3 linked regions of the Astyanax mexicanus genome follow. The protein of the gene in region 3 interacts with the protein of the main gene of each other region in a pairwise test. Links are inferred from orthologs where the notes say so. Each region holds a gene or a part of one and is shown on either strand. Other genes may lie near its edges.

Region 1 (7,030 bases), on a different chromosome or scaffold from region 3:
TTTTAAATGACTTTAATCTATTTTATTGATTCGATATGCTTAGTACTTTTAATATGGTTTAACTTGAAATTAGAAGGAAGGGGTACGGACACATAACGGTGATGAGAATTTCCATATATATTTTTTTTAATTAATTTATATAAAAATAATTTTCTATGATAATGAAAACAATTGATCCATACAGTACTACCTATTTGCTTTACACACAATATCAGAGTTTTTGTGAATTAAGTACTGATTTTAAAAATTGTCATGGACATGTTGCATGCAGCTTCATGAGAATCACCCATAACACCGATTAAGCAGCTTATAAAGCCAGACCTTGTAACAAGTGGGAACACGTAATTAGGTCGACACATGTCAATTGGGATCGGCCTATACTGGAATGTGAGGAAGAGCAAGAGGAACTGCTGTAGATCACCTAGTCTGGGGATGACTTTAAGGTTATGATGTCACTTCCTCCTTTGATAGAGTTCATCTCATTAGCCGCCTGGGTGGCAGAGGGGCTGTGAGAGAATTTTTCCTGTCAAAATAGGTTGGAAGGCTGCCGCGACAGGTTTTCGCTCTCACATTTTAGTACAATGTTCACTCACATGTTGATCAAGGGTTGAACATATGTAAATACATGATTGGAGGAATTACGGTTTGTCGACGTATCTGTTTGATACGTCGAAAGGGGGAATTGTGGGAAATCTTACGAAGAAACCTCGTTTTACCTTGAATATATTGACAAACATCTCACAATCATGATTACTTATCTTGGTATCTAAAATTACATAATCATCGTGTGAAACCTTGTATTTTATATGCACTAACCAATACTCACACTACATTTGATCATTTCATAACTATTTTATATGCATTAACCAATGTTAACACTATATTTGATCATTTTATTACTCACAGTATATTTTTTACACATTTATATAGAAAACTAATAGTGAAGCATTGTTTTTAACAAGCATGTGACTAAACACAGGCCTTAGGCTGACAAACTAACCCACATGATACATAAACGTATAGACCTAATTGTATAGCGGACAATCACGCGCCACTGACACCTCACTGAAACCCATTGTGTGATTGCATGTTTTTCTCACTAACAGCTACAAAATCAGCAGATAGTGCATTCTGCATGACCTCGCTTAATACAGAGACTTTTGGGCAGACAATACGGTCTTTCTCTCTCCGTGCGCGTGAAGACCTCCACCTGTCAAATTGAGGAGGGCATGCGCACGGGGAGAGAAACATTGTCTAATTACTGAACAATGCCGTGCTGTCTGGCTACTCATTCTCAAGGCCATACACTAGCGAATCTTGAGCTCTAACACGTAACACCATGCCTGCTGACATGGGATGATTTTTAGCAACGCCTCATCGGCAGATTTCGCGTCATTTTTGGTATATACATGGAGTCAGATCATTAGAGGTTCAGAACGTATGCTGGACGGTCGTAACCGTGTTTGTATGTTCTCCTGAATTCAGTAATAAATACTTGTTTTGCTTTCAACTTCACCTCCATCTGTTTTGACTCTCTATTCAACGAACGCGCATGGGAGTTGTAGCGGACACACCTTGTAAATTCATTTCTACAACAGCTGGAATGGCAGAACTTCAGAATCTTCCATACCTGATCTGATCAATGCTTTCTTATCTCCTCACAGCAATACTACAACACCAAGTATTGCTGGGCAGCGCTAAGTTGCTCATCTTTGGCACTCCGGCCTCTGGAGGGGAAGCAGCTAGCCGCAGGTTTCTATCGTGCAGCCAGAGCACAGACAGGAAACCCTGAGTAGGTTTACGACCACATAAAGGAAGGAAATGCAGACTTTGATAGTGTGGTTTTCATCAGCAGAAAGACAACATACATTAGTAGTCTAACATGAGTGTGCAGATTCTAACTGTAGCTAAAGTTAACTAAATGCTCTTGCATATTAATGTTTGAGATTTGAATCATTTGGACTGCACCACTAGCATCCGCATTTGTATGTAGTTGTAGTAATGCAAACCAATAAGGATGCAATGACAACTAATCAACACTTAGTAGCAGCAATGCCACCCAATCAGCATTCAGTAGCAGCAATGCCATCCAATCAGCACTCAGTAGCAGCAATGACAACTAATGAACACTCAGTAATAGCAATGCAAACTAATCAGCACTCAGTAGCAGTAATAATGCAAACCAATCAGCACTCAATAGGGGCTATGACAACTAATCAGCACTTAGTAGCAGCAATGCAAACCAATCAGCACTCAGTAGCAGCAATGCAATCGAATGAGGACTCAACAATTCAGACTAATCAGCACTCAGTAGCAGTAATGCAAACCAATCAGCATGCAGTAGCAGCAATGACAGACAATCAGCATTCAGTAGCAGCAATGCAAACCGGTAATGACAATGGTACTCAGTACTCAGAAGCAGCACTGCCATCCAATCAGCACTCAGTAGAAGAAGTGCCATCTAATCAGTACATTAGCAGGAACAACAACCAATCAGGACAGAGTAACAGAAGCGTCATCTAAGTGTACTCAGCACTCAGTAGCAGTAAGTCTAAACATACAACAATCAGTGCTCAATAGCAGTAACACCAACCAATCAGCATGCAATAGCAGTAACACCAACCAATCAGCACTATGGAGAAAAAATCTGATTTAAGTAGCATTCCATTTAAACAATTAATTTTACTGTGTACTTTGGTTACTTGCAAGGTCTTTTAATAATGCATAGTCATAAGAAATTACCAGGTGCCTCTAAAACTGTTTAAACTGTTTAAAATCAGTACGTTACTAACTTATTTTTTTCAACTCGTAGTTGTAGTGTTTATATATTTGCTAAATAGCACTAAAGTGTTTTTTACCTGAATTGTTTTAATGCGATCAGCGGATAGCGCTTTTTAACAACATTATTCTCGGCCAAGAGCTGTTTGAGCACTTTATGCACTATAACTAGGACACTTACCTAGTGACCTCGCTAGAGCGCAGTGTGTCTGCGTTCTGTATTCTTACCGACTTGTAATGTCTCTTACTGTGGCCGCGTCCCATTAAGAATGAGTAGTGGCTTACTTTAAGAGTACATTTCAGGATCGTTTTACTTTGATATAGTTATTATAGTTTAGTATAATTAATATTACTTATATGGCTTATTGTATTATTTATTGTATCGTCAATACAATCTCTACACTGTGGCATCATCAAACAATTAAAACGATTTTTTTATTTATAACTGGTTAGACTGCGTGCTAACTTACAGCTTGTAAACTAGCCAACTAGAAAACTTTTAAATTGTATAGTGATATGTATTAAAATGTAAATTTGTACATGTTGTAATGGGACGCGGCCACAGTTCTTAGTCACAGACCTTAGTAGTCGATATAGATAAAATCGTTTTTTTTTTTTTTTTTTGCTGAAGGCGCAGATAAAGCCTGAGCCCAATTCATATCTCAGTAAATTACAGCACACCGCCAAAGGGAGCCCGCGAGAAAGCTCAGAAGTAATGGGGCGAATAAAACTAACTAACTACTTAGCCTGGATATTCCTTTAATTTTGGAACGTAAAATAAACTATTTTGCTTAAAAAAAAAAAAAAACAAGTAAAGAAATCTTACATGTTTACTTTTTCTGCGCTAGAAATGCGCACGCTCTCCGCTTTTAGACTCTTTGGCTCGTTTCTGACACCTAGCGTCTTTGAATCTCACATTATAAAAAACAGCGGGCCAACTTTCATTCTATTTCTAAAATACCTCGCGGGCCGCTCCAAAAAGGAAACGGGCCGCAGTTCGGACGCCCCTGCTTTAGTTCTTCTATATTAAACGGGTTTTAGTCAGTAAAAGCGCTACATTAAATTAGTATGAACTGAACTTTCAGACGTTAACTGCTAAAGCAGTGCACCTATACCCGTGTGAATTGGGACGCGGTCAGAGTTTCAGGCATTACTAGTCGATAGTGGAGAAGATCGAGTGCAGCCTCTCTTCAGCGGACAGGCACGTTTCTGAGGGCCGGTGGGAGCGGAGCTGTTGATGGACAGCAGTGAAATAAAATGACCGACTACGGAGAGGAGCAGCGGAACGAGCTGGAGGCGATAGAGTCCATTTACCCAGACTCGTTTACAGGTGCGGCTCAGTGGTGGGGTTAGCCTAGTAAGCTAGCTGTTAGCCCGGCTGGCTGCTCCACTCTCCCTACTGGAGCTTCAGAGCAGCGGCTAGAGCTAACCCTGTGTTCTGTCGAGTTGTGCTACCCTGTCAAATCGTGCTACCCTAGTGTATGTTTAACTGTAAAAATACAAATAATTAGAACATGCTGCATGCAGTTGTGTTGTTGGTATGATCAAATTTGAATAGCCTAAATCGCTGTATCAGGAAAAATGTATAATATAACGTTAGGTGGTTTAAAATGTAAAAAACATTTATATATACATTTTTTATTACTTTTTTTTTACACGGTTGTAACACTAAAGCAAGCGATGACTGTGAGTCCAGATTGTACAGTGCACCCGGGAAAAATAAAACTAAATTGGCAGGAAAAAATAGAAAAAGCACATGAAAACAGTAAAAGTGTGAGTTTTGCGCATGCGCAGAGCCGCTAAGTAGCGCATATCGAAGGGTAGCACAACTCGACAGAACACCCCGGCTCGGTTAAACTAGCCTGGCCTAGTTTAGTTTAGTTAATTTAAGCTAAACTAAGTGTAATTCCTGGTTGTCTAATATGAGTAAGATGTGTTTTTTAAACGCTGTAAATGTGAGCAGGGTCTGCGTGGAGCTTAATCTAACAAAGTTACTGAAATTATCCGTTCCACCTTAAAAATAACTGTATTTCTATGCCACTGCTGTAGCAGTTGACGTGTATTATTGTGTCGGCTAACGTAGTTATGTTGCTTAAGCTAGCTAACCTGGCTTAGTTAAGTTTAATATGTGGCTATATGAGAGTAAATTATGGTTTATGCTGTGTGGAGCTTTATCTAACAAAGTTATTGGAGTTCTCTGTTCCACCTTAAATGAGCAGTAGTTATACGCGATTGCTATACCATTTAAGGTGGAACTGTAAAGTAGCTAGTTTAATTGGTGGCTGTTTGGAAGTACATTAGGGTTTAAATGCTATGAATGTGAGCAGGGCGCTTGTATGAATTCAATAACTAACAAAGCTATTAAAATTCTCTTATTAAAGTTCTCTTAAAATGAACAGTAGTCAAACGCGACTGCTTTATAATTTAAGGTGGATCGGGGAATTAGCTGACTTAAGTTTAATATGTGGCTATGAGAGTTCTCCGTTACACCTTAAAATGACCAGCAGTTATACCCCGCTTCTATATTATTTAAGGTGGAACGGAGAATTAGCTTATCAGCTAACGTAAAGTAACTTGTTAGCTAGCTAAGTAACTTAGCTCGGTAAGCTGACATGTTGTACCTTAGTTAACGAACCTACATAACGCTAGCCAGTTAAGCTAGGTGTAATGTGTGGTTATATAAGAGTAAAGTGGGGTTTAAAAGGTTGTGAATGTGAGCATGGTGTTTCTATGAAGGCTGCGTGGAGCCTTAACAAAATTCCCATGACAAAGTTATTGGAATTTACGTTACACCTTAAAAGTAGCAGCAGCTATATGAATCGCTGTACCATTTAAGGTGGAATGGTGAATTAGCTTGTCAGCAACGTTAGTTATTTAGTTAGTTAGGTAGCTAAGTAGCTGGCTAGGTTAGCTAAAACACAAGTACCCAGACAACATGCCCATGTGGAGCTTGTGTGGGTAGCAAAACGTTTGGCCCCCAGATGTAATGTTGGCCCCTCATGTGGATGTCAGTGAGGGGACCAGGCAGGCCCCATCTGATCTGTACACTGCATATGTGGCCTAGTTGGGACCCACCTGCAAAGGTGTCAAAAGTATTCACATTAATTACTCAGGTAGAAGTAAAGATTCTAAGGTTAAAAATACTTCTGTTGAAGTATCTGTTGAAGTTGAAGTATCAACTCTACTCGCTTCTTATTCAAATAAAAGTGTAAAAGTACTGCTTTCAAAACTAATTGAAGTATAAAAGTAAAAGTAATGTACCTTAGGACATTTCGCTTAAGTTCTCGTAAGTCTCTGTACAGATTTTCTTCATACTAGATTACATACAGGGGTTGGACAATGAAACTGAAACACCTGTCATTTTAGTGTGGGAGGTTTCATGGCTAAATTGGAGCAGCTTGTTGGCCAATCTTCATTAATTGCACATTACACCAGTAAGAGCAGAGTGTGAAGATTCAATTATCAGGGTAAGAGCACAGTGTTGCTCAAAATATTGCAATGCACACAACGTTATGGGTGACCTACCAGAGTTAAAAAAAGGACACATTGTCGGTGCACGTCTTGCTGGCGCATCTGTGACCAAGACAGCAAGTCTTTGTGATGTATCAAGAGCCACGGTATCCAGGGTAATGTCAGCATACTACCAAGAAGGACCAACCACATCCAAGAGGATTAACTGTGGACGCTGTAAGAGAAAGCTGTCTGAAAGGGATGTTCGGGTGCTAACCCGGATTTTATCCAAAAAACCACGGCTGCTCAAATCACGACAGAATTCAATGTGCACCTCAACTCTCCTGTTTCCACCAGAACTGTCCGTCGAGACAATAAATTATTGTGGTCTAAAACCAGGTGTTTCAGTGTCATTGTCCAACCCTTGTATGTCTGCTATGTTCTTGCTGGAGTGTGGGCGTGACGTGTGCAGGTGTGATTGTATAAATCAATAGGGTGTTGGAATGGTATATGTTTATACTTCTCATCCCACCACAGTCAGATTTACTCTTTCTGGATGAAGAGGTTTATCTGGATAGGGTTTTTTATAAGATGCAATTAAAACAAGCTAAAATTAAATAGGAGTAACAAGGCTAGTTTTAAAATGTAAGAAGTAGAAAATTCAGATAATTGTGTGAAAATGTAGAAGTAAAACTGTGTCAGAAAAATATTTACTTTAGTAAAGAATAGATATCCAACATTTCAATTTTGATGGGGTAACAAAGTATTTGTACTTCATTACTTGACACCTCTGAGTTTTTAA
Region 2 (7,062 bases), on a different chromosome or scaffold from region 3:
CTTCAAATATCTACAGAACAGAATCAAGGAGCTGGAGGGAGGGAAGACTGCAGGCAGCACATCTTCAGGTGGAGATCATTTCCGAGATTTCTGGTCCAGATGGAATGAAGAGGCCAGAAGGCACAGAAGGGGGAGAGAGCGATTTTATCAGAACAATTCTAGGAGGCACTATAACTTTTGGTCATATTTTACACCGAGGGACATGCCAAAACCAGACATTCCAGACAGAGAAGAAGCTAAGCGCTGGTACCGACAGGCAGAATGTGACCTCAGCGCTGCTCAGAGTGAACCTGCGGCGAGTCCTGAGTGGAATCTGTTTAAAGTGCATCAGGCCGTGGAAAAAGCCCTGATAGCCTCAGAGTACAGGAGAAAGGGACGACACTCCGGGAATGTCTCCATCACAGGTCTCGCCCAACAGATTTCCCACTACAGCCCCCACCTCAGTGAGGTACCCAGTGCTGTAGCCCAGCTCAGGACACTTGGTGTAGATGCCAAGAAAACTCAGTACCCAAACTGCCATCCACCACCCTGCATACCACACGATCAGTTCAGACATGAAGATGCAAGAGAAGCAGTGAAGATTGCAGCAGAGCTTCTGAAGAATGTAGAAAAATACATTACTGGATGAAGGATTAGTTTACTTGTTTACTGAGTGTTTGAAGATTGAATCTTCAGCACTGATTTACTTCTTTCTGAACCTAATCTAGAATAACTGATGTTGAAATGTAATTTAATTTACCATAATTTAAAATTAGTTCTTTCTTATTAGGGTTGTGCACTGCAAACCAATTACTATTCTAACTCCAGTGCTTTTTGGAACAACAGATTTTGTACATATTTGTTTTCTGTTAGGAATTATTGGGGTGCAACTGTTTGACATAATGACACAAAAATGCCAGTAACACTCAACCAACCATGTGGGGCATTACAACAAACATTTTTTAATACTTAAGAAACCACCTGAGGAACCACTGCAAGTATCCAGAATTACTATAGCAACTGCCTAGCATCCACCTAGCAACCACTAAACGATACCATAGCCACTGCATTAAATACCATAGCATCCCCACTGCAGTACTGTTGAAACAACACGATTAAGACTTAGCAACCACCTTTGATACTATAGCAACCAGCTAGCAACACCATATGAACCATTTAGGATACCATAGCATTTGTCTAGCATCCACCCTATCCAAGTCCTTGCAACCACTATACAACACTATAGACACCACCTGAAATAACATAGTAATTAATTCCATTGCAATGCTGCCAAGCAGTCACCTAGCAACCACTTAGCTACCACTTGGGGCACCAGGGCAACCAGCTTGCAACACTATATAAACCACCATAGATACCAAAGTGTCTGGCCAGCATGTACTTAGCAAAACCCTAACTACCACTAAACAACACCACAGCTACTACTGTAAATGCCATAGTTATTACATTGATACGCTGTAGCGGCCAACAAGCAAGCAGTTAGCAACACCTTAGAACCCACCTAAGATACCACAGCACGTGCCAAGAAAATACTTAGCAACACCTTAGCTACCACTAAGCAACACTATAAACACCACCTGAAATACCATAATTACACTGTTACCACTTAGGGTAGCATGGCAACCAGCTCACAAAACAATATTAATGACCTGAGATAACATAGCAGCCATGCAACTAAATGGGAACCTTTTTTTCGTTCTGATGGTGTTGTATGTGTTGTTTCTTCTATTTAGATTTTTTTTTCCATTTCTAACTGCCTTTTTTCTGACCTATTCATGTATTTCTACTAAGACAATAAATATCAAATGGAAAGACTGGTGTTTAAGTGTCTGGGTTTGTTTTATAATTAATCGTGTAGTCATATAGACAGTAAGGTTATATTGCTTTCATAAGAATATTTCATGTATATATATATATATATATATATATATATATATATATATATACATATGTATATATATGTGTATATATATATATATATATATATATATATATATATATATATATATATTCACCTAAATCTGAATTTCCAAGAGAGGTAAAAAAAAAAGGGTACTGCTGTATGTTAATATTGATGAGTGATCACGTACTTTAATATAATATTTAATAATATATATATTTTTAAATATTATAATATTTAATATTGGTTCTGTGAGGTCAAACTGTCCCTAAGCAAAACACTTCTGCAGAAAAAAGCACATTATAACAAGACAACAAGTGTGTACAGTAAATTGCTGACAATTAGCTAGTAGTAATTGGCTGTAGTAAATTTTACAGTATGCATACTGTACACTTTATCACAGTACCTATTAAACAGTAACAAATACAGTACTGTTTTTTTTTATAATCACAGGCTGTTGTATTTTTTCACAGTAAATATTAGACAAAAATTAAATGCATTACTGCATTAATTTAAACATGTTTTTCAGAAAAGTCTATTTACATTTACCAATTTCATACCCTTACCAAAAAGGTCCCGCGGGATTCCTGCAAAAATGTGCAGGTACTACCTGCAGGGGTTGTGTAAGGGATCTTTCTGCAGAACTTTAATCCTAAAGGATTTTCAATGATTGTTTTCCAGCTAACACTTGAAGCAGATACAAAATTAACAAAAAAGAATCATGATGTAATATTAATTGTATTAATATTCTTTATAATATAATATACTAGTTTATATTAAAGTAATCCTATATTGTTTCAAGCAAAGTTACTTTTTACTTGTATATTAAACCAAACAACGATGCCTTGTTCAAATTATGAATACACTCAAGGTTATAAGGCACCCACGAAAATGAGTTGAAATAAATTAAGGTGTTACAGTTAGTAACATAGAAAACCGCTCAGTGGTCTTACTCTGACATAATTTGCTGTTATTTTGCAGCACTCTGTTTCTATGTTTGCTATTACACTCCATTAGTTTTTTTTTAATTAAAAATACATATTTTATTAGTTTTACTGAAACATATTTTATTAATAAACTTGTCAAACAAGTAAAACCATCGAAGCAAAGTGCTAAATATGCAGCTGCTATATAAATGATTAAAATGTAATCAATTTTTATACTGCAAAAAAACTTAAATTATATTGACTGTAATCCATGTACAGTAACATTTATTCATTTGATATTCAATTGGAAATTCCACCTTAAATGCTTATTGCAGTAACACACACAGTCATCCTTATTTAAGGTGGAATGGAAATACTAATAAGAAAATAGTGAAGAATGTAATATTGAATTGAATATCAAATGAACTAAGTTAATGACACACTGATTTACTGTCTTAGGCATTTTTAAGACCATTGGGAGACCAATTTAAGACATTTTAAGACAAAGGAATGACTTTTACTGCACTTTTTTGGGCAGGAAAAGGTTGCTGACAGACTAACCTACTAGGTTAACTAGCGTTAGTTATTTAATGCTTAAAATGTTAAGGTTACCCAGAGACGACCCAGAGATACAACTAGATTTTATTTATCTTAAGTCTACCGAATTCTTAAATCATACTAACTTACCAAAATAATCTATTTTCTTACCTTTAAAATTCTAAATTTTACCCTGCCTCAGTCCATTTTCAGTAATGTTAGTAAGCTAATCTAGCCTTAGCCTAGCATAGCTAGCCTAGCATTTACCTCAGAAAAACCTTCGAGTTTTTTGTTGAAATCATTATTCTTTTCAGTCACAGTGCTTTGAGTAGCAAAGATAATCATAATATGCCTTAGAGATGATAGTAAATAAGTTACTACTAATAAAAGTTCGATATGTAAGTAGTAAATGTTAATAAAATAAATGTTTACCTCATAAAGGTTGCATTTTAATGATTTTCAAACGCACGAAATATCAAACCAATATAAACATTTTCTTTGGGGTTTAATGAGTTTTAATAAAGATATAACCCACTTCAACTTTCACTTTATATTTACCTGCATTTTTGCTGCCCCCTTTCGACACACACACTCTCTCACACACACTTTTACACACGTTAGCCTCCCCCTACACACACATTAGTGCAGCCGTGCTGAGCACCGCGCCGCGCAGCGCCGGGACCCGGGTGTTTTTACAGCCGCCGAAATGCCTCCAAAGAAACCCGCTCCAGCCACAGGCAGCAAAAAGACCCAGGAGAAGAAGAAGGAGAAGATTATTGAGGTCGGTGGCGGATAAACCGCGAAAACTGGGCTCATACTGACCCGCTGCTGCCCGGCCATGCTCCAGACCCTGGCCCGGCGGTCTACCTTAATTTAGCTTAGCCTAGCTTAGTTTAGCATCTTTAGCGCCAAAGCAGACGTAACGTAGCTTAGCATAGCTACTATAGGATCTGGCCGTGAGTTAACCTAACATAAATGAGCTAAGCTATCTTCAGCGCCAAACCAGATGTAATTTAGCATAGCTTAGCATAATTGCTATTATAGCTTAGGTTAGCATAACATAGTTACGGTAGGATTTGACCGTAGCTTAGCTTAGCACAGTTACTATAGAATTTGGCCTTAGCTTATTTTAACATTTATTCAGCGCGGAAGCAGATGTACTTTAGCTTAGCTTAGCTTAGCTTAGCATAGTTAGCCTAGCTAACTCTTTCCCCAACACGTCAACCCGGCTTGCTGGTGACAGCTCAAAACTCCCATAGCTAGCTAATCGATGACCGGAATGTATTGACAAGTGACCTAATCGATAAAATAGCGCTTATTGATTAGAGCTTATTTCATATGTATAGCTTTAACATGGATATAAAGCTAATTCTATTATCCTTAGGGCTGCATTTGGTTGGCTAGCTAACGATAGCTAACTCGCTTCTAGAAGCGTTGAATGGTGTGGTTAGCTTAGCTAGCTATAGATAGTTGGAAGTTGGCTAGCTAGCTACAGTAGTAGCATACATTCTATAAAATATAGATATAAACATTTTTAATAAGCCAGCTCAGATTAATCTTATGGATAACTGCTTAATAGTATGTCGAATAAGCAAAGAAGCAGTGATTTAGCTGAAAGTTAGTTAACTAAAAAGAACATTTTAGCAATTCCTAGCTTTAGCTCGCTAGTTTTTCAGTGTGTTAGGCCTGATCCTCATGGCTTTCTGTGAACACTAAAACACCCTTCTCATAACATATAATATATAATGTGCTTTCTATACATTGATATAGTGGTTTTAAAGTATTAATATATTATTATATTATCCATCAGTTCATTAAACTGTTCCCTTTTTTAACAGATCTATTTAACAATCTGTTCTCTCAGTTAAATAATTTGTTCCCTCAGTTTAGTAAATCACTCCCTTGATTTAATGATTAAATTGTTCAGTTTAATAAATTAAACAAATCTTTTAAATTTGTCAGTCTTGACAAAGACATTCATCATTTGTGTTGGACAGTGGACACAGACTTCCATTTAATGATACCAAGCCATTATAAAGTACCAAGGTGGGGGAAAAAGAAATCTGGAGATTTAGAAGTTGTTTTTCTAGCTTAATAAATTGTTAAATATCTTGTTTCCTCAGTTCAATAAAGCATATCCTGGTTTAGGTGTTCTGTAAATAGGTGTATATTACTGCATATGAAATTATGTAATTTAAAAGAACTAGCGGTCTTCTGGTGCCTTCCCACACTCTTTATATACCTTTATCTCTCTTGAATTCCACCAGTTTTTTAAAGTAAATTATTTCCTGCAATTTTGTTAATTTGAACGGACAGGTTATTAAACTGAGAAACAGTTAACAAGGTTTCAGACATAAGGGAGTACTCTTAATATTGTACTTAATAATTTGTTTAATAGGGACAGTGCTTTAATTGGATTAATTGGTTAAATAACAAAGTTACTTACTTGGATTAAAATTGTAATAGACTTGTTTATCAAAAACATGTGCAGATATGTAATATTTATATTATATAATACAGTATTTTAATATACATTATTTACAGAATCTGTCACGGACTGATGTTTATTACAGAGATAATTACATGAATTGGCAAATTCTTTTGTCAGAAATGTGTAGGTAGACATTGCATCCATTGTGGGCATTTTTCTGTAGCTTTTATTTGTTCATCAATGGAAATTAGAAAATACAGTAACAGTAAATCTTTGGACACCTTCCAAAGAAAAAAAAAATATTTTTTTTTTATGTTTTTCAAAATGTTTTGCATTGTAGATTAATATTAAAGTAACTCAAGCTATAACAACATAAATCAGAAGACTGTTAAACAAAGCAACATATGTTTTATATTTTAGACTTTTCAAAGTAGCACCTCTAGTTAGGCTTTCAGTTTACAGCTGTGCTGAACTCATCAAGAGTTAATTACTTAATTGAACTACAAGTTAACTGCAACCCAGATAAGAGCATCTAAATGCTTTACACACTATTTTGGTTTGACACTTCTAAGTTACAACATGATTCCTTATGCATTTTGTTTTAGAGACGTTCAGCTGTAAAAGAAATATCTTGTCCTGTTCACCTCCACTGTGCATTTGTGTCATATATTTTTTTTGTCATACATACATTTGATAACCATTAAATAATTAAGAGATGTTAGAATGTACTCATTCGGGTCTGTTGTTGTTTGTCACAGGATAAGACGTTTGGACTGAAGAACAAAAAGGGAGCCAAACAGCAGAAATTCATCAAAACAGTCACACAACAGGTTAAATATGGGCAGCAGAACCCACGGCAGGTAAGGGCTGGGCTAAATGCCACATCTTTGACCTGATTTAGACGTTTCGGCAGGTTTGCAGTCTTTTGATTATTGTTATATTTATCAGGCGGCCGAAGCTGACAAGTCTAAGAAAACTGACAAGAAGAAAGAGCTTTCTGAGCTGAACGAGCTCTTTAAGCCTGTGGTGGCAGCGCAGAAAGTCAGCAAAGGTAATGCCTGCTGTTATAGCTACAACATGAACCTATTAAAACAGTGCTTAAGAAAGAGTATAGAGTAAAGCCCTGGGTATTGAGCTGTAGAGCAGTAGAGCTCTATCCAATACTTTTGGATGCTCCAAAATCTAGTAGAACTTCTTTATTGGGCAGTACACACACTTACTCAAACAAAAGCAGAATAAACTCTCTTTAATACTCTTTATTTATGAAGAAA
Region 3 (7,302 bases):
TTTACTTTCTTTATAATCTTTGTGTTATCTTATCCACTTAATTTTGAATCCACTTATCTTTTATTTGTGTTTAATTGTGTCTTTTATTATTCTAATTATTTATCTCTTTATTTTACTGCTTTACATTTTAGCCTGTGCACTTATCCTTGTATTCTGTTTTATTATATTTCTTATTAATTGAAGATTATATTGTTTTTACCTTTTAATGTTTTTTTTTTTTTAAGTTCCTTATTTTAGCTTAAGTTGATTTTGATGTTAATTTACTTATTTTTTCAGTCCTTTAGTTTGTAAACTTGGCTCAGCTAAGATTACCCTCAATATATCCCAGAGTAAAAATAAAGGTAAATTGAAAAAATTAAGATGATTTCTCTCAAATCATGAATAACCAAAATAAAATTGAGCAGCAAAGTCATATTTCGTGCCTGCAGCTGAAACAAAAGGCTATTTTAGCTCTTGATGGAAATTTTATACCACATTAGTTAGCACTGTAATAACCGCAGGCTCTCATTATGTTGTGTGGAGGTGTTCAGTGATCTCTAATAGACTTGATTATGGAGTTTCGGACAGTTTAAAACTTTGTTATGTATAAACATGGTGTAAAGTATATCTTCTAATAAAGACAGATGTTGAAGTCAGATTTTGTCTGTAGTTTTGCCTGTTTTAAAGGTAAGAGCTGTTGTAAGAACCTGGATTTTGGCTCCTTTGTAGCGGATGACTCCCGGCACTGTGGTCAGCGTGGTGAACTCGTAGGCGGCGACCTCGGAGTAAACTCCAGCCAGGTTACTCAGCAGCGTGGATTTACCCACAGAGGGAAAGCCCACGAACCCGATACGCGCATCACCCGTCTTCGCAACATCAAAACCTGAAACAAATAAAAATTAGTGTTTTAATAAGGAACTCAGCTTATCATAGCTTATTCTTCTTATTTAATTTATTATATTATATATTATATTTATTGTACTAGTCTTAACTGTATTTCTTCATTAATTTGAGCTTGAGACCCTGACTGTCTGGGTACTGCAATATAAACATTACTGCTAGTAGGGATGTTCCCAATAAGATCATGTGATTGGAAATTGGGGTCTATCACATCATTTTTAAACAATTCGGATTACCGATTTGCATGTTTGCAAATGCAACGCAAACAAAAACATATGCAATATATGCAGCTACACTAGATTTGATTTATTTTTAATTTTTGGGCAATAAGAGAAAAGACGAAGTCATTTCTACAGAGTATTCATGTTCGCTTTGAAAAGCAAGACAAAAGTACTTATAAACTTTTTAATTTATAAAAATGTAAAAAAAAGGGACTAAATTGATATGAACCTTGATGTAAACATCCAAAATGTTCATTTCAGTACATTCTTTATTATTAAACAACCAAAATTCTCATAGCTGCTTCATACAAATCTGTAAACTAAGTGTACAGACACATAATCATCATCATCATCACAAGTGTACCCTAGAAGTTCTACACTGTTTTTAGAATAAATCTTAATCTTAGTTTCTTAATAATATGAAGTTCCACAGTTTTAGAGAAAAGCCTCCCTGCTCGTACCTTCTCCAGGTCCTCCTCCTCCGCCTCCTTTAGGAGTGATGAGCTCTCTCCGGAGTTTGGCCAGTCGGGCTTTCAGCAGCCCCAGGTGATGAGCTGTGGCCTTGTTTTTTTGAGTACGAGCCATCTGTAGTACAAGATAAAACACAGTTGTAGCACTTTATATTATAAATGTAATAGTCATATATCAGCACTCTGAACAGTAAACATCAGAAACCCACCCAAATTTATTTATTTATTTATTTTAGTTTTTCCTACATTGTAAATGAATAATGAAGTGATCCAGACTATGAAGGAACACATAAGGAAGCATGTGGTAACTTAAAAGTGTTAAACAAACCAAAATACTCTGTGAAACGTTTAGGTGCTATTTTCTGGAAGCTGTTTGCTAACTTGCAGTTTCTGAGGCTGGTAATTTTGATGAACTGATCCTGTACAACAGGATTGCTCTTGCTATTGCTCTTCCTTTCCTTGGGGCGGTCCTGATGAGAGCCAGTTCCATCATTATAAAACGTTTTTTATGGTCTTTGCAGAAACTGCACTTGAGGATACTTTCTTTCCTACAGTTTACTGTTTTATTCTATTAAAAGGAGTTTTTTATTATTTAGTTGAGTAGTTCTTGCTTCTCATAATCTGGATTAGAACATTACTCAAATATTCACTATTCACTGTATACCTGTAACAATACCTCTTCACTACTTTACAACTGATGCTCTCAAACACTTTATAAAGAGGAGAAGAAATTCAAGTAATTAACTCTTGATGAGTTCAGCACAGCTGTTAACTAAAAGCCTGAATTCCAGTTGACTCTACCTCATAAAGCTGACTGAGACAATCCAGCTGAGATATGCAAAACTGTTATGCAAGAGGTGCCACTTTAAAAAATATATTCTGGTTTGTTAAACACTTTTTTTCTTTACAAAAATAATTTCAGTACTCAATAATTTACAGTCATATATGCTACTACAGCTTCTTAAACCTGCAATACATATGTTTAACATTATTTAAATATTGGAACAGTAACTTAAATAGACAACATCATAATATTCGTAATTTTAGATGTATATTTTGTGGTAATATGCTCATGTTTATAGTTTCTATAGTATTTAATTTTAGATATTTTTACTCTAAACAGGTCCCAGTGTTTCCTAGCAGTATTAGGAGCACTGTAAAAGGTCTACATTAATATAAACAGCTAAATACAGTTTCTCAGTGAGTATAAATGCAGTAAAATAAGAGTATTTATCAGTTTATTGAAGATAAAGCGCTGTAAAAATGAATGGAGGCGAGTAGCGGCCCGATGCTAACAGGCTAATCTCACTAACCTCGTTCTCTATTTCTGCGATTTTAGCGAGTAAACTCATGTTTGCGGCGCTGGGTCGGTCAGAACCGGGTCAGGGGGAGCTGTATCAGGCGGAGCGGGCTCGGTTCTGGTTCTGTTCGGCTCTGTAAAGTTGGATTTTCTGGGTTTTAGCCGCCGCGCTCAGACTTCTGACATGCTGTGCTGTAGATCCTCGCGGTTCCCGGCGCTGAGCGGAGGGAGACAGAGCCCCACCTGCTGGACAGGAGTAACAGCTGCACACAGCCACCGTCACCATATACAGCTGTGTGCAGCAACATAAGAGACCACCATTTCAGTTTCTGAATCAGTTTCTCTGATTTTGCTATTTATAGGTTTATGTTTGAATAAAATGAACATTGTTGTTTTATTCTATAAACTACAGACAACATTTCTCCCAAATTCCAAATAAGAATTTTGTCATTTAGAGCATTTATTTGCAGAAAATGAGAAATGGCTGAAATAACAAAAAAGATGCAGAGCTTTCAGACCTCAAATAATGCAAAGAAAACAACTTCATATTCAAAAAGTTTAAGAGTTTAGTAAGTAATATTTGGCGGAATATCCCTGGTTTTAACAGGGTTTACTATACAGTATCAACATGTTCTGCATTGTAGACTAATACCAAACTCAGACAAATTATAATGGAAAAATTGTTGTAAACAAACCAGAATATGTTTTTTTTATTTCACATACCTCAAAGTTTCACCTCTTGCTTAGATGGTCAGATTTATACATCTCTGCTGGATTTTTTCAGTCAGCTTGTCACTTGAAATTCAGGCTTTCAGTTCAGCTGAACTTGTAAAGAGCTAATTACTCTTAGTTGAATTTTTTGCCTCTTAATAAAGTGTTTGAGAGCATCAGTTATATATATATATACATATATTCTGATATTAATATCAGAAAATAACTATGAACCGCTAGAGGGAGCCAGCGAGTGAGTCCTCAATAAATGGGAGTGAATGGAGTTAAACAGCTAAAAACTCAAATTAAAAATAGTAATTAATAATTTGGCCAGGATATTCCGAAAAATATATTTTTCAAATTAAAATGATTTTGCTAAAAAAGCGTATAAAACTTACCTGTACATTATTCAGTTTTTCTACAGTAAACTGGTTTTAGGCAGTAAAGGTGCTGCATCACTGATACTGTGAGCTGATTGGTTGGTTGGTGAGCTGATGCTACAGCCAGAGCACTGAATTTAAAATCTTTAAAATGCTCTGCTGTGCTGAAGGGTTTTTTGAAAAAAAAAAAAAAGAATTGCAGCTTATTTATTAAAGGATAAAAACCCACATATAATATAATAGTGTTATGCATAAACGTATTTTGTATATATGTATGCTTAACCAGAGCCTCACCCACAAGATCAGTTGAAGAAACGCCACTTCAGTCTGCTGGTTGAGAACCTCAGACAGTACACAGCAGGGCTGGACTGGGACAAAAAAATCGGCCCTGGCATTTTTGCTTTAGAACGGCCCCTCATAATTTGCGGAGCACAACCAACATGTAATTTATGTTTGTGGGGTTACAGAGAAGCATAATGTATCATCAGCATATTAAATATAACACGTTTATTGTCTAATTTTAACTCCGCCATTTGTGTCTGCTCTGTGTAGTTCAATTGATTTTTTATCTTTTTTATTGAAATAATCTCTAATATGTATTTGTTTTATTTCTATTTTTTCAGGTTAAAGGTGCTTCCTCCTTTAAACAGCTATAACATGTACTTGTATCAGGCTACAAATAGGGCATTCTATATAGCCTCACCATTATCAACTTCATAATAAAAATTAACTTTATTCTAGTCATGTTTTGTTTTTTTGGGATGGAATGTTGTAACAGGGCTCAAGCTCTTTTATTAAATGCTTGAAACCAGGGTTCACTTCTACTCTCATCATGAGAGGATCTTTTGATCTAGGTAGAACAAACAAACAATGGGCATGATTGTGGCGCTTTATTAAAAACAAAAACAACATCATTACTTTAACTACTAATATTTTATCATTATTACTGGATGCATTTTAGTGTTCTTTTTTAAAAATATCAGCTTTAAATTGATACAATTAAATTATATAAGTGGTGTCAATCACTTACATCAGAGAGAGAGCGAGAGAGAAAGAGAGCCAGGGAGAAAAAGAGAGACAGAGAGAGAGAGAGCGAGCGAGAGACAGAGAAAAAAGGGAAAGAGCGAGAAAAAGAGAGAGAGAGACAGTAAGAGAAAGAGAGAGAAAGCGCGTGATTAGGCGAGCGAGGGAGCGAGAGAGAGACCCCCTCTAATTTGTGGGCCGAAGAAAAAAATCATCAGCCCCTAAGGACTGTCGGCCCACCGGGCATTTGCCCGGTACACCAGATTACCAGTCCAGCCCTGGTACACAGCAGGATTAGCCTGCAGACTTCGTCTGAGGAAGGGATCTGTACCTACTGTCTGCTGCAAGTCAGGAGATGTAAGAACTTTCAAATAATGAATTATAGAATTGTTTCTATTACAGTGTTATGCCATTTAGCACAAGCTAACACTAAGGTGTGGTAAACGCTCAGTGTAAACATGTGTTGCCAACAAGAGCTTATTGGCATAAAAGTGACAGAGCCCTAATGGCTTATTCTGAAAGGGACTGTGTGTGTGATTTTCCTTAAAAAAAACTTAATGAACATGTTTGTATAGCACATAGATCTACAATATTGTAGCTTGTGTAAAAATATGGTATATAATAGGTCCCCTTAAAAGTAGAACTACATTTTGTAGTAAATGTGGGCCTGGGTCCATACTTGAAATCAATATATCACACATTATATACAGACATTTTGTATCAGATATTACACATATTAATAGTAGAAAAATAGTAGCTTTTTTTAAGTACCCCAATCATGTACGTACTACATAAAATATATTTATATTTATACAATTCAGCTTAACAACCAGTCACATGTTCACAGAATACAATCAGCAATAATCTTAATACTCCCATAAACCTCAGCACTTACTTTGCTGGCCAGACGATTAATACTAAATAGATAGAAATCCTCTTCTCCTATTAGGTGCTCAATGAATGGCTCTGCTAAGAAGTTGTACTCTAAATATATATGTCAAGGTTTTTGTTTTGTTTTTCTATTTCCTCTTCCACCTTTTTTCTTATTTCCCGCCTTTTATTTCTTTATTTTTTCCCTTTTACTCTTGTAGTTTTTTTTATTTTTTTTTATAATATATTTCACTTAAAACACTGCGTTAACTGAGATCTATGCTGTTTATGGAGGACCAAAACTGCCAAAATTAAAAATAAATAAAGAAATATAAACGTATGTAAATCATTCAATAAAAGTAATACGGTGATTAAAATAGTAAAGAATAATTATAAATAATATAAAAATAAATATCTTATTTATGTATAAATTGTTATTTAGGGGTGTCTTTATTAAAATTATTTAAAATATTTTTTTATTTTGATTCATTTGTTTATTTATTAACATGACTATTTATTTCTGCATTCATTTATTTCCCGGTTTATTTATTTATGTTTTTCCTTGTCCTTATATGATAATGAGAGGTCTGTCCAGTAATGATGTCACAGTGTCTTAGCATTCCTATTGGTTAATCGATGTCAGATACCCTAGATGGATTGTACATTTTTTGCTCCTTTGGCAGTAACTTTGGTAACGTGGAAAATTATTTAATGAAGATCACTTAGATCGTAATACAGACTCTGGTCTATTTCTTTGAGGTGAGCAACATAAGCTACTGCCTCTCTGAGCAGATCCGATAACAAACTTCTCCCCGACGTTTCAGCTCCTGGACTCTTCTACTCATATCAGCTCCTTTCTTTCTTGATTGCTAAACCTGTACGTGAAAAACACGCCCCCTTCATTATCATATAAGGACAAGGAAAAACAGAAATAAATAAATCTGTAAATAATGCAGAAATAAATATGCAAATAAATAAATTAATAAAAAAAATAAAGAAACAAATTATTAACATATTTTAAATTATTAAGATTTTATTTGTATGTATATGTATATATTTTTATATTAATCATAATTATTCCTTACTGTTTTACATCACCATATTACTTTTATTGAGTGATTTACTTACTTTAATTTTGGCAGTTTTGGTTCCTCCATAGCTGTTTAACCAATCATTTAAAAAACCGAATAAACAAATTACAAAAAAACAACAATACAAACTCAGCACTCAGACACCAGCAGCACAAATTGTTTTTGGTAAATAGTTTCTTTTTATTGTTCATATTTACTTTGCATACAGTATAATCACTCAAATGTTGGTGAAATTGCTGGATCCACCATCGATCTGGAACATTGTGTAACCTCGTAGGCCTGCCGGAACAGGCCGGGGGGTGTTTTTGCTTCGTCAGGCTACATAATGCACTGGTCTCTCCAGCATCAGGCCATCAG

What was found. The genes of interacting proteins can lie anywhere in the genome.
Region 1: the proteins of drg1 (region 3) and rwdd1 interact in binary tests that used the Homo sapiens proteins (3 or more experiments, as listed by UniProt). The two-hybrid records come from large-scale screens. The link is inferred for Astyanax mexicanus from reciprocal best matches to the Homo sapiens genes DRG1 and RWDD1.
Region 2: the proteins of drg1 (region 3) and zc3h15 interact in binary tests that used the Homo sapiens proteins (3 or more experiments, as listed by UniProt). The two-hybrid records come from large-scale screens. The link is inferred for Astyanax mexicanus from reciprocal best matches to the Homo sapiens genes DRG1 and ZC3H15.

What each region holds. Positions count from the first base shown.
Region 1 is NC_064411.1:31,734,799-31,741,828, forward strand, and holds the start of rwdd1 (RWD domain-containing protein 1), read left to right. Parts: upstream 1-3,933; 5' UTR 3,934-4,035; coding exon 4,036-4,108; intron 4,109-7,030. UniProt on the Homo sapiens protein: Protects DRG2 from proteolytic degradation.
Region 2 is NC_064418.1:49,357,241-49,364,302, reverse strand, and holds the start of zc3h15 (zinc finger CCCH domain-containing protein 15), read left to right. Parts: upstream 1-3,965; 5' UTR 3,966-4,066; coding exon 4,067-4,141; intron 4,142-6,549; coding exon 6,550-6,651; intron 6,652-6,739; coding exon 6,740-6,842; intron 6,843-7,062. UniProt on the Homo sapiens protein: Protects DRG1 from proteolytic degradation. Stimulates DRG1 GTPase activity likely by increasing the affinity for the potassium ions.
Region 3 is NC_064427.1:20,149,851-20,157,152, reverse strand, and holds the start of drg1 (developmentally-regulated GTP-binding protein 1), read right to left. Parts: upstream 3,117-7,302; 5' UTR 2,923-3,116; coding exon 2,884-2,922; intron 1,686-2,883; coding exon 1,562-1,685; intron 863-1,561; coding exon 687-862; intron 1-686. UniProt on the Homo sapiens protein: Catalyzes the conversion of GTP to GDP through hydrolysis of the gamma-phosphate bond in GTP. Appears to have an intrinsic GTPase activity that is stimulated by ZC3H15/DFRP1 binding likely by increasing the affinity for the potassium ions.